Daphnia pulex: one gene and its partner. Each later gene encodes a partner of the first gene's protein in a complex. Links are inferred from orthologs where the notes say so. Each region holds a gene or a part of one and is shown on either strand. Other genes may lie near its edges.

Evidence for each region. The genes of interacting proteins can lie anywhere in the genome.
Region 2: the proteins of phenylalanine--tRNA ligase beta subunit-like (region 1) and phenylalanine--tRNA ligase alpha subunit A-like are in contact, whole or in part, in a crystal structure (PDB 3L4G), measured with the Homo sapiens proteins. The link is inferred for Daphnia pulex from reciprocal best matches to the Homo sapiens genes FARSB and FARSA. Residues at the interface, in NP_005678.3 of Homo sapiens: Glu26, Phe29, Gly32, Leu33, Pro68, Ala69, Asn70, Ile150, Arg152, Asp259, Thr261, Lys262, Arg305, Lys316, Lys317, Val318, Gly319, Ile359, His360, Cys362, Asp363, Glu366, Ala369, Ile370, Tyr374, Asn375, Ile377, Gln378, Met379, Thr380; in NP_004452.1 of Homo sapiens: Ser221, Gly222, His223, Leu224, His225, Leu227, Leu228, Arg231, Ser232, Arg235, Leu239, Gly242, Phe243, Thr244, Glu245, Pro247, Asp249, Asn250, Phe251, Ile252, Glu253, Ser254, Phe263, Gln266, Gln267, Phe277, Phe278, Leu279, Arg280, Asp281.

Annotation. Positions count from the first base shown.
Region 1 is NC_060024.1:1,044,404-1,049,631, forward strand, and holds phenylalanine--tRNA ligase beta subunit-like, read left to right. Parts: upstream 1-1,680; 5' UTR 1,681-1,865; coding exon 1,866-1,923; intron 1,924-2,009; coding exon 2,010-2,065; intron 2,066-2,181; coding exon 2,182-2,336; intron 2,337-2,408; coding exon 2,409-2,478; intron 2,479-2,541; coding exon 2,542-2,808; intron 2,809-2,878; coding exon 2,879-3,058; intron 3,059-3,126; coding exon 3,127-3,381; intron 3,382-3,446; coding exon 3,447-3,821; intron 3,822-3,888; coding exon 3,889-4,090; intron 4,091-4,152; coding exon 4,153-4,304; 3' UTR 4,305-4,338; downstream 4,339-5,228. Other genes in the region: probable actin-related protein 2/3 complex subunit 2, read right to left, coding at 4,440-4,669, 4,734-5,006, 5,068-5,202.
Region 2 is NC_060018.1:5,962,848-5,967,591, reverse strand, and holds the start of phenylalanine--tRNA ligase alpha subunit A-like, read left to right. Parts: upstream 1-1,917; 5' UTR 1,918-2,103; coding exon 2,104-2,244; intron 2,245-2,388; coding exon 2,389-2,526; intron 2,527-2,585; coding exon 2,586-2,827; intron 2,828-2,889; coding exon 2,890-3,111; intron 3,112-3,177; coding exon 3,178-3,293; intron 3,294-3,359; coding exon 3,360-3,541; intron 3,542-3,621; coding exon 3,622-3,760; intron 3,761-3,821; coding exon 3,822-3,949; intron 3,950-4,010; coding exon 4,011-4,105; intron 4,106-4,173; coding exon 4,174-4,275; coding exon of another isoform or gene 4,276-4,279; exon of another isoform or gene 4,280-4,300; intron 4,301-4,464; coding exon 4,465-4,744. Other genes in the region: isocitrate dehydrogenase [NADP] cytoplasmic-like, read left to right, coding at 1-128, 194-345, 409-537, 598-890, 976-1,138, 1,207-1,285.

The sequences.
Region 1 (5,228 bases):
AGAGAATTGGCCCGAGGGAATAGAGGGGAGAAGAGGAAAGTAATATGAAAAAAAGAGTGGCCCATACTTTCCCTTTCCCCCCTTCTTTCCTCGGGCCAATTCTCTGTTGATTCGTTAACGAAAAAATTAAACAACAGGGGAACACATTTTTTTAAATACATGGAATGTGATCTGGAGACACAAATTGCTACACATACTAACCAAGATACGTAGCAATTAACTGACAGAAAAAAAATGGAAAAAAAATTACACACTGATTCAAAAAACCAACTTTGTATTGGGAAAACAAACTTTCAGCCAAGGACCGGACCCATATTTCGGACACTGTACCACGTTAGACAGGGTCGGTAAAAATAGTAAAAATCATTTTAAAATCAAATTTTTCTACACTTTATTTTTTGTAGTGTAAGCATTAACTGTTATAAGTTTCATAAAAATCTTATGATTATTTCCTGAGATATTCAAGGAATAAAAAAACACGGGAAAAATGCGCAAATTTTTTCCCCACTAATTGTGCAATTGAACCCAAGTTTGACGGATTAAGTAAAATCTGCTCACATAAAAACATTTGCCTACACTATTCACCCAAATTTTATATTTATTTTGAGAAGAAGAAACATGGGTCCCCTTTTTTTTCGTACGCCCTCCTCCCTCCCATTCGTCCCATTCTCCCTCTTCTCCCCATTCTTTCCTCAAAAAACGTAAACAACGCGTTTAATTCATTTTTAACCAATAAATGGGAATTCAAACAAATAAATAAATACATAAAAAAATTCCCTGTTCAATTCCCTATTTCCCTGTTGCAACAAAATTTTACCATTTTAAACTAGAGTAAAACTACAGACTAAAATCTTTCGTTTTCTTTCTTTCCACCCAAATTTGGGTTAAAAGCCAAAAACAGTTCCCCGCAATATTGATAGGTGGCTGTTTGGAAAAAAATCGCTGTTCGGATTTTTTTGCAGGATGGAGTAGTTGGACATCCTGCGTTGCGCATTCTCCGCAAATTCGAAAATCTCATTTGTGTCCAACTCGGTCTGTGTCGCCTACAGCGTCTTATGGGAAAACCAACTTCTTCCCGTTAAAACAGTTGTTTTCTTACCTATAACTTTGATTTCCCCCCTTTTCTTCCTAACAGTGAATACTTTATTCATTTCTCTATTACCTAATTTTTATTTCTATCCCCAATTCCATCTGGTTAATTTTTAATTAATTTTTGTTTGTGACTGGTTTTTTTGTTGTCTCCTGTAGCAGAAGAATTTCGTTCGTAGCGTGGTCGATTCTGTCTAGAAACGTCTAGAAACGTCTGCTACAGGAGACGAACAAAAAAACCAGTCACAAACAAAAATTAATTAAAAATTAACCAGATTGAATTGGGGATAGAAATAAAAATTAGGTAATAGAGAAATGAATAAAGTATTAACTGTTAGGAAGAAAAGGGGGAAAATCAGAGTCATAGATAAGAAAACAATTTTTTTACCGAGGAGAAGTTGGTTTTCCCATAAGACGCTGTAGGCGACACAGACCGAGTTGGACACAAATGAGATTTTCGCATTTGCGGAAAATGCACAACGCAGGATGTCCAACTACTCCATACTGTACATAGCATTTCATTTGGATTCAAAAAGGCTACCAAAAGCCGTCACCAGATGGGGGTTTTAACACTGACGGGCAATCCGGCAATCTAGTCTGCACTCGGCAGTCGCCAGCTCATTGAAACCAGAGTTGCAAAGTTTTTCGATTCCATCCTCCAGCTTGTCCAAAAAACCAGGTGGCAACTGGGTGGCAATTGGCAAGTTTGATCACTGATATTGCAGTCCTGCTGTTAATTTCTTTATCATCTTCTGCAACTTTTCCAGAACAACACCATGCCTACCATAAGTATCAATAGAGATTTACTGTTCAAAGCCCTTGGAAGATCTTACAGTGAGTTGAGATCACGTATTTGCTATAAGTTCTTTCAGTTAAACTTCAATTTAACTTAGTTAATATAATGTTATTTCTATATTTAGCGGAAGAACAGTTTGATGAACTTTGTTTCAAATTTGGCATCGAACTTGATGAAGTTGTAAGTACCCCTCCCCCCTAAAAAACCAACAAACAAAACAATATGAATTGTATTTGATATGAAACTTAATGTGTTCTCCCTATGCAAGTTACTCGTATCTATTTTTATTATTTCAGACGAGTGATAAACTCATCATTTTGAAAGAACAAGGAACAGAACGATCAGCTGGTGCATCAGAAGAAATCATTTACAAGATTGATATTCCTGCCAATAGATATGACTTATTGTGTTTAGAAGGTCTTGTGCAAGGTCTTCAAGTATTTTTGGGAGAGTAAGATAAATTCATAAACAAAACAAACTTATCATTAAATCAACAAATACCACTTTTTATTATTTCAATTAGAAAGCAATTTCCAGCTTTTAAAGTTGTTCCACCAGTGACAGTTCCTCAAAGATTAATTATCAAGCCTTCGGTGAGTCGTCATAAGAAATTTGTCATAATTATTATTTCAATTCAATACTATTTTTTATTACAGACTGCATCAATAAGACCACATGCTGTTGCAGCAGTTCTTAGAAACATCCACTTTGACCAAAACACTTTCAGTAGCTTCATAGATCTTCAGGATAAACTACATCAAAACTTGTGCAGGAAACGTAGTCTTGTTGCAATTGGAACTCATGATTTGGATACAGTCCATGGTCCATTTTTCTATGAAGCACTTCCACCTGATTCAATTAAGTTCAAGCCATTGAGCCAGAGTAAAGAGTTTACTGCTTCTCAGTTAATGGACTTGTATTCAGTAATCTATCTATCAATTGTGTCATTTTATGCTTTTAAAAATTAAAGATAATCATTTTTTACTAATTCAGACTGATAGCCATCTTCGCCACTATTTACCAATTATACGCGATAGTTCAGTCTATCCTGTTATCAAGGACAGTAATGGAGTAGTTCTTTCTATGCCACCTATTATCAATGGTGAACATTCAAAAATTACCTTAGATACGAAAAATGTTTTCATTGAATGCACTGCTACAGACCTAACCAAGGTAAATTGCCTTTATGAAAATGCAATTTTTTAAATTGCTTCTTTAATTGTTTAAATGTCTTCTTTTAGGCTAGCATCGTTTTGGACACTTTGGTCTGTATGTTTTCTAGGTACTGCGGGGATCAGTTTACTGTGGAGATATGCGAAGTAGAGACTCCAGAAGGAAAAATCAACAACTATCCGATTTTAAAAAATCGACATGAGAAAATCAGTGTTGACAAGATCAATACAATGGTGGGTATCAACGAAAAAGCTGACGAAATCGCAAATTTACTCACCCGAATGTGTTTAACTGCCACCGTGGAAGGAACTGGTTCCATTTCGGTAAAAAAAATGTAATGGTTAAATTATAGGATTTTGAAAATTCATGTAAAAATATTCCCTGGCAGGTTGAAATACCCCCCACTCGTCATGATATCATTCATGCGTGTGATGTCTATGAAGATGTGGCGATTGCTTTTGGATACAATAACATAACCAAAACTCTACCGAAAACTAACACCATAGCTTCACAGTTTCCCCTAAATAAGCTGTCAGATCAGTTGAGAGACCAGCTTGCTCAAGCCGGTTTCACAGAGGCTCTCACATTTTCGTTGTGCTCGAAGGAAGACATAAGCGAAAAGCTGAGGAAACCTCTGAACTCCGTTCCTGCAGTTCATGTTTCCAATCCGAAAACTTTGGAGTTCCAAGTAGCACGCACGACCTTACTTTCAGGTTTGCTCAAAACTATCGCTGCCAATAGGAAAATGCCTTTGCCCATGAAGGTAAAACCTATTTATTTAATAAGATAAGTTATAAAAGTTGTAAAACATATGGTTTCTGTTCTTCAAGCTATTTGAAGTATCCGATGTGGTAGTGAAAGACAGTCAGCGAGATGTTGGAGCTCGTAATTGCCGCAATCTGTGCGCCGTTTATTACAATAAGTCGCCTGGATTTGAATTAGTTCATGGTTTACTAGATCGCTTAATGCAATTGTTGGAAGTTCCACTGGATCAGAGTGGCAGCAAGGGATACTTCCTGAAACCATGCGAAGGTTCATTTCATATACTGCATCAATATTTTGATTACCTTCTTCTAAAGCTATAAAATTTACAGATGCAACTTTTTTCCCCGGACGATGCGCCCAAATCATTTTTGCTGGCACTGTTGTCGGAATCGTCGGAGTCTTACATCCTGATGTTGTGACATCCTTTGATTTAAATCTTCCATGTTCAGCTTTGGAGTTGAATATTGAACCGTTTTTGTAAGCAGTTACAAGAAATAAATGTGGTCTGTCATTAATGAGAAGCTAGTGTATTATTGAAAAATGTGAAACTAAGCGTTACAATTTAATCAATGAAGAAATCCTAATTAGGTAAACAGGGAAAATGTGCATTTAAACATCATGGAGTACGAATGAAAGTACGGCCGGTGATCGTTTTCTTTTCCACCGTTTTTGGTTCAGGTCGAGCTCGGTTTAATACTTTCAAAAAATCAGAAGTTTTGGCTCTCATGCGTGAATGAATGTAGGCTTTGCTACATTTGATGTGGTAGTGCAAATAGTCACGGAAGAGATGAATCAAATTAATGGTATTTTCGCGGACGTTTTTGTTCGTATGCCGTGGAAACAAGACTAAAAAGAATTATGACATAAATTTTACAGAAATCCATGTGTAAAAATAGAAATGATTTCATACCAAATGTAATGTATCCAATATTGTCACCAATTTTAGCATTTGTACTTTGAAGTTCCAGAGGAGGTTCTCGGTGAGAAAAAAGAACTTGTGGGGCAGTGTGAGAAGCTCGGCGACCTTCGCGAAGTTCTTGTAAGAAAACTTTACCTAACACAATATCATCCTCATCACGGAATACAGTGCTGAACACTACTGTTACTCTGTCTGCCTTAGCTTCTATGTACAATGTCTCTTCATCACGATAATTGATAACTGCTCTCTTGTGCCCTTCTTCACCTTATTAGAAAAGAAAAATTATAGAATTTCAGAGTATTGCTTTTGCTCATTATTTTTTTACCCTTTTCCTGAAATTCAAAATACTTCTCAAAAACAGATGCAAAGCAATTTCTTTTCAGCAGTCCAATTTTTTTTACTATTTCTTCCCAATTGCCAGGTATGTTATCCAAATCCAAAACAAGGGAAATATTGTACCCTTCAAAAAAAAAAAAGGATAAATAA
Region 2 (4,744 bases), on another chromosome or scaffold:
ATGGTACACTAAGAAACATTCTTGGTGGAACTGTTTTTCGAGAACCCATTATTTGCAAAAACATTCCTCGGTTGGTAACTGGATGGACTGCTCCGATCATCATTGGTCGCCACGCTCACGCCGACCAAGTAGCTTATAATTTGTCATGTGACATTACGAAAGTTGATACTGATGGTTCAATTTGATTTAACAGTATAGAGCAACTGATTTTTTAATCCCTGGAGCAGGCCAATTGGAAATGAAATGGACTGCTGCTGATGGATCCACAAGCATTGTGCATATCGTCAATGACTTCAAGGGTGCTGGAGTTGCTATTGGAATGTACAATACTGACGATTCCATTAGGTAATTGTTTGGTGCAAATTCGAATTCAAAGGCCAGGACTAATTTATTTCATTTTGATGAAAGGGATTTTGCTCATTCTTCGTTGCAATACGCTCTGCAGCGAGAATATCCTCTCTATCTCAGCACCAAAAATACTATCTTGAAAAAGTACGATGGTCGCTTCAAAGATATTTTCCAAGAAATCTACGATGCGTAAGTCTACATATTTTATACGTACGATTACATAAAAATTGACTAACTTCGTGTGCGCAGAGAGTACAAGCCGTTGTACGAAGCCAAGAAGATTTGGTATGAGCATCGTTTGATTGATGATATGGTTGCATATGCTATGAAATCGGAAGGTGGGTTTGTTTGGGCATGCAAGAACTACGATGGTGATGTCCAGTCAGACTCAGTTGCTCAAGGGTATGGATCTTTGGGGATGATGACTTCCGTCCTCATTTGCCCAGATGGGAAAACTGTTGAAGCTGAAGCTGCTCATGGAACAGTGACCCGCCACTACAGAATGCATCAGCAAGGAAAAGAGACATCCACAAATCCTATTGGTTAGTTACTGTGTTCTCGCCCGCATCGCAGGCAAATACGTTTTTCAATTTTCTTATACCAATAATGGTTATTATATTAAATCAGCTTCCATTTTCGCCTGGACGCGTGGACTGGAGCATCGTGCAAAGTTGGACAACAACGAGCCTTTGAAACGATTCTGTAGCGCATTAGAAAGCGTATGCGTTGAGACTATCGAAGCTGGTTTCATGACCAAAGATTTGGCCATTTGCATCAAGGGAATGAATGGGTAATTTTCGTTAATTTTTTGTGCGATAGAATGGAATGGTTTATTGATTTTGTATTTCTATATTCTAGCGTAACTCGAGGCGACTATTTGAATACCTTCGAATTCATGGATAAGTTAGCCGAAAATCTTAAAATCAAGTTGGCGTGACAACAAAAAAGAGCTTACGAGTCTTCATCTGTGACCAGCAGATTATAAGTTTAAAGTACTCAGCATAATTTTTTTACCAATCATATATCGTTCGATAATTATAGAAATGTTGGGAATTGGAATGTTTACAATAAAGCTGTTATCGAGTTACTATTATGTTTCTTTGGCGTGTACTTACTTATGTCTGCATGGTGTAGCCGTGTAGTCTCATTTTAGTGCGGTACCACTAGAATTTGTTGGTATGTTCCATTTTATCGTAAGGGTGAAGGCTCAGTAAATTGCTGGCAGTTCCAACCCTTTATTCAATAATCTGATATAGCCTACTAACTGAGGATAAATGATCAAATTATACGAAAAATATAGGTAGCATCTGCATCTCCATCTTATTATACATGTAGGTCACTAGGTCTTCTTTCATCTTTGGTACCGTACTCCTTTAATTTCATATTTCCTATTATTTATTTCTTCTATTATTTTATTTCATTTTACTTTATTTACTTCTAAATTTGAAATGGATAAAACTATTTTCGTAAAAACTTGTTATTTTTTTAATTTTAAACTTGCGCTCCTGCCACTTTCCGAACTTCGCATTATTCACAAACAACACACGTTGTCAATGCAGGAAGCAGACGAATTTTCTTCCTGTTGTAACGTCACGCTCTTACGGCTCTTTTAGTCCTCTAAAATAATTACGTCAGATATTTCTGGCTAGTTAGGTTTGGAATAGTCCGTCGTTTGGTTTACGCACCGTGACTAAAGTCTTATTAGAAGACTCAAAACTAAAGACTTAAGTCTTATACTTTTCCCTGAAGTGAAATATGGCGACTGCTCACGGTGAGAAGGTTTTGAAGTATTTGGAAGAAAATGGGACTGCCAGTTCACTTAAACTAGCTGAGCTTTGGAATGAAGATCACCAAAAGATCGTTGGTACCGTGAAAAGCCTTCTTTGTCTTGGAGAAGTGAGTGTACATTTTATGTTACATTATATTTAACTAAGCTTGTGTATTATATTTTACCACTACAATAGATTAAAATGCAGTACATGTAGCTTACCTAAAAAATGGGAAAACAAACAACAATTTTTTATTTAATTTGGTTCCCAGGTAATTGAAGCTGATCTTCAGAGCTCTGCGCTATGGGATCTCACTGAAGAAGGAAAACAGGTGGCTAAAGATGGTAGTCACGAAGCTCAAGTTTTCAATGCTATCCCACCTGCTGGAAGTACACAAGCAGAAATTGTGGTATTTTGAATTTAATCATTAAATGTCAGAAACATTTTGCCATTTTTGTAATTCACTAGGCTAAAGTTACTGAAGTGAATTCTAAATTCACAAAAGATATGGCCAAAGTTGGTTTCAGTAAAGCCATGTCACTTGGTTGGATTGTCGTTGACAAGAGTTCTGGAGCTCCCAAATTCATTAAAAAAGTAACTTCTATTCAAGATAAGGTTCAGGAACATCTTAAAGAACTTGCCACTGGAAAAGACACACTCACCAATGAATTGAGAACTGAGTACAAAAAAAGAAAACTTATCCAAGAAATGTTAGTATTATAAAATTTTGTCTCCCCAAAATCCTGTTTATTACCAATCTTTGTTGTTACAGAATTATCAAGAGTTATCTGATGAAACCTGGCCCATCATTCAGTACAAGTGTCACTAAACAAGAGACTGATCTTACGCCTGAAATGATCGCTTCCGGTTCATGGAAAACAAAGGAGTTCAAAGCATACAATTTGAATGCTCTTGGGACTCCAATTCCGCGAGGACATTTGCATCCCTTAATGAAAGTACGAGCAGAATTTCGACAAATATTTTTGGAGATGGGGTATGTTCCTAGTTAAAAATATTTAGAAATCAAATTCAATTATTAATCTGAATTTGGTCAAATCAGATTTACTGAAATGCCCACAAATAATTTTGTTGAAAGTTCCTTCTGGAATTTTGATGCCCTTTTCCAACCTCAGCAACATCCTGCACGAGATGCTCACGACACCTTCTTCCTTTCTGGTACTTTACTTAATTTACCTAGTTACTTTGTTAAGTTTCTGTAATTGGAAATTTTAAATCTTTTAGACCCGTCAACAGCAACAAATATCCCTGTCGATTACATGGAGCGTGTGAAAAAAGTACACAGCCATGGAGGTTATGGTAGTCAGGGTTATGGATATGATTGGAAAATAGAAGAAGCGCAAAAAAATCTTCTTCGAACCCATACCACTGCCGTTAGTGCGAGGATGCTTTACGCCCTTGCTGAGGTATAGTATGAGTGAAAAGTCAGCATCCTTCAAAACATCAAAATTTGAAATCTTAATTAACTTTTGTCCCCATTGTGCAGGGTGGTTTCAAACCGGCGAAATACTTCAGCATTGACCGTGTTTTCCGAAATGAAACGCTTGATGCTACACATTTAGCTGAATTTCATCAAATCGAGGGAGTCATTGCAGATTATGGCCTGACACTGGGGAATCTAATAGGTGCGAGTTTTTTTTTTGTATCGGCACTTTTGCAACTCATTTCATCTTTTTCAAATTTAAGGAGTCTTGTATGAATTCTTTCGCAAACTGGGTATTGAAAAGCTGCGGTTTAAACCTGCCTACAATCCGTACACTGAGCCCAGCATGGAAATTTTTAGTTATCATCCTGGCCTTAAAAAATGGGTTGAGGTAGTGAACTTTTCCGTGTACTTGTTACCATTGTTTTAAAAAATTTCACAAACATATTTAGATCGGAAATTCTGGAATATTCCGACCGGAAATGTTGTTACCAATGGGACTTCCTGAAGACGTTTCAGTTCTGGCATGGGGTCTTAGTTTAGAGAGGTACTAAAATACTGCTAATATAACTTTGTGTATTGAATCTAACTAAAATGTACTCATATATTATTTAGGCCGACGATGATTAAATATGGCTACGATAACATTCGGGATTTGGTGGGCCCTAAAGTGAACATACAGATGGTAGCAGACAACCCTCTCTGCCGACTGGACAAGTAACTTACATCCACCATGTCATATGTTTGTTTATTTTATTTGTTTTTAAATACCTTAACATTTCATAATAAGTTTTCTCAAGTGAAACACAGCTTTCATTTTAAACTATTTGGTTTTGTTGATTCAAGTTAAAAGTTATTGATTTTTATAAGGTATCCTTACAAGCAAAACTTGTTTTTCCCTTCCAGACACCGTGGTTCTGAAATGAAGGAAACAGACGATTTGCAGGACTTGGAGAATCGCATGGATTCGATCATGACTCGACTACGTGGCATTGAAACTGAAGTGAAGAAGTTAAAAAGACAAGGCAAAACTACTGAAGAAAAATTAACTCTTGTCATAGAGGCTGATCCGAAATATCCACCACGATCAATTCAAACCTTGGTGAGACTCCTGGTAGCTCGAGGAGATGCCCGTACCATAGTGACCGTTCATCAGCATTCATCTTTGGCAAGTGCTTGTCCAACC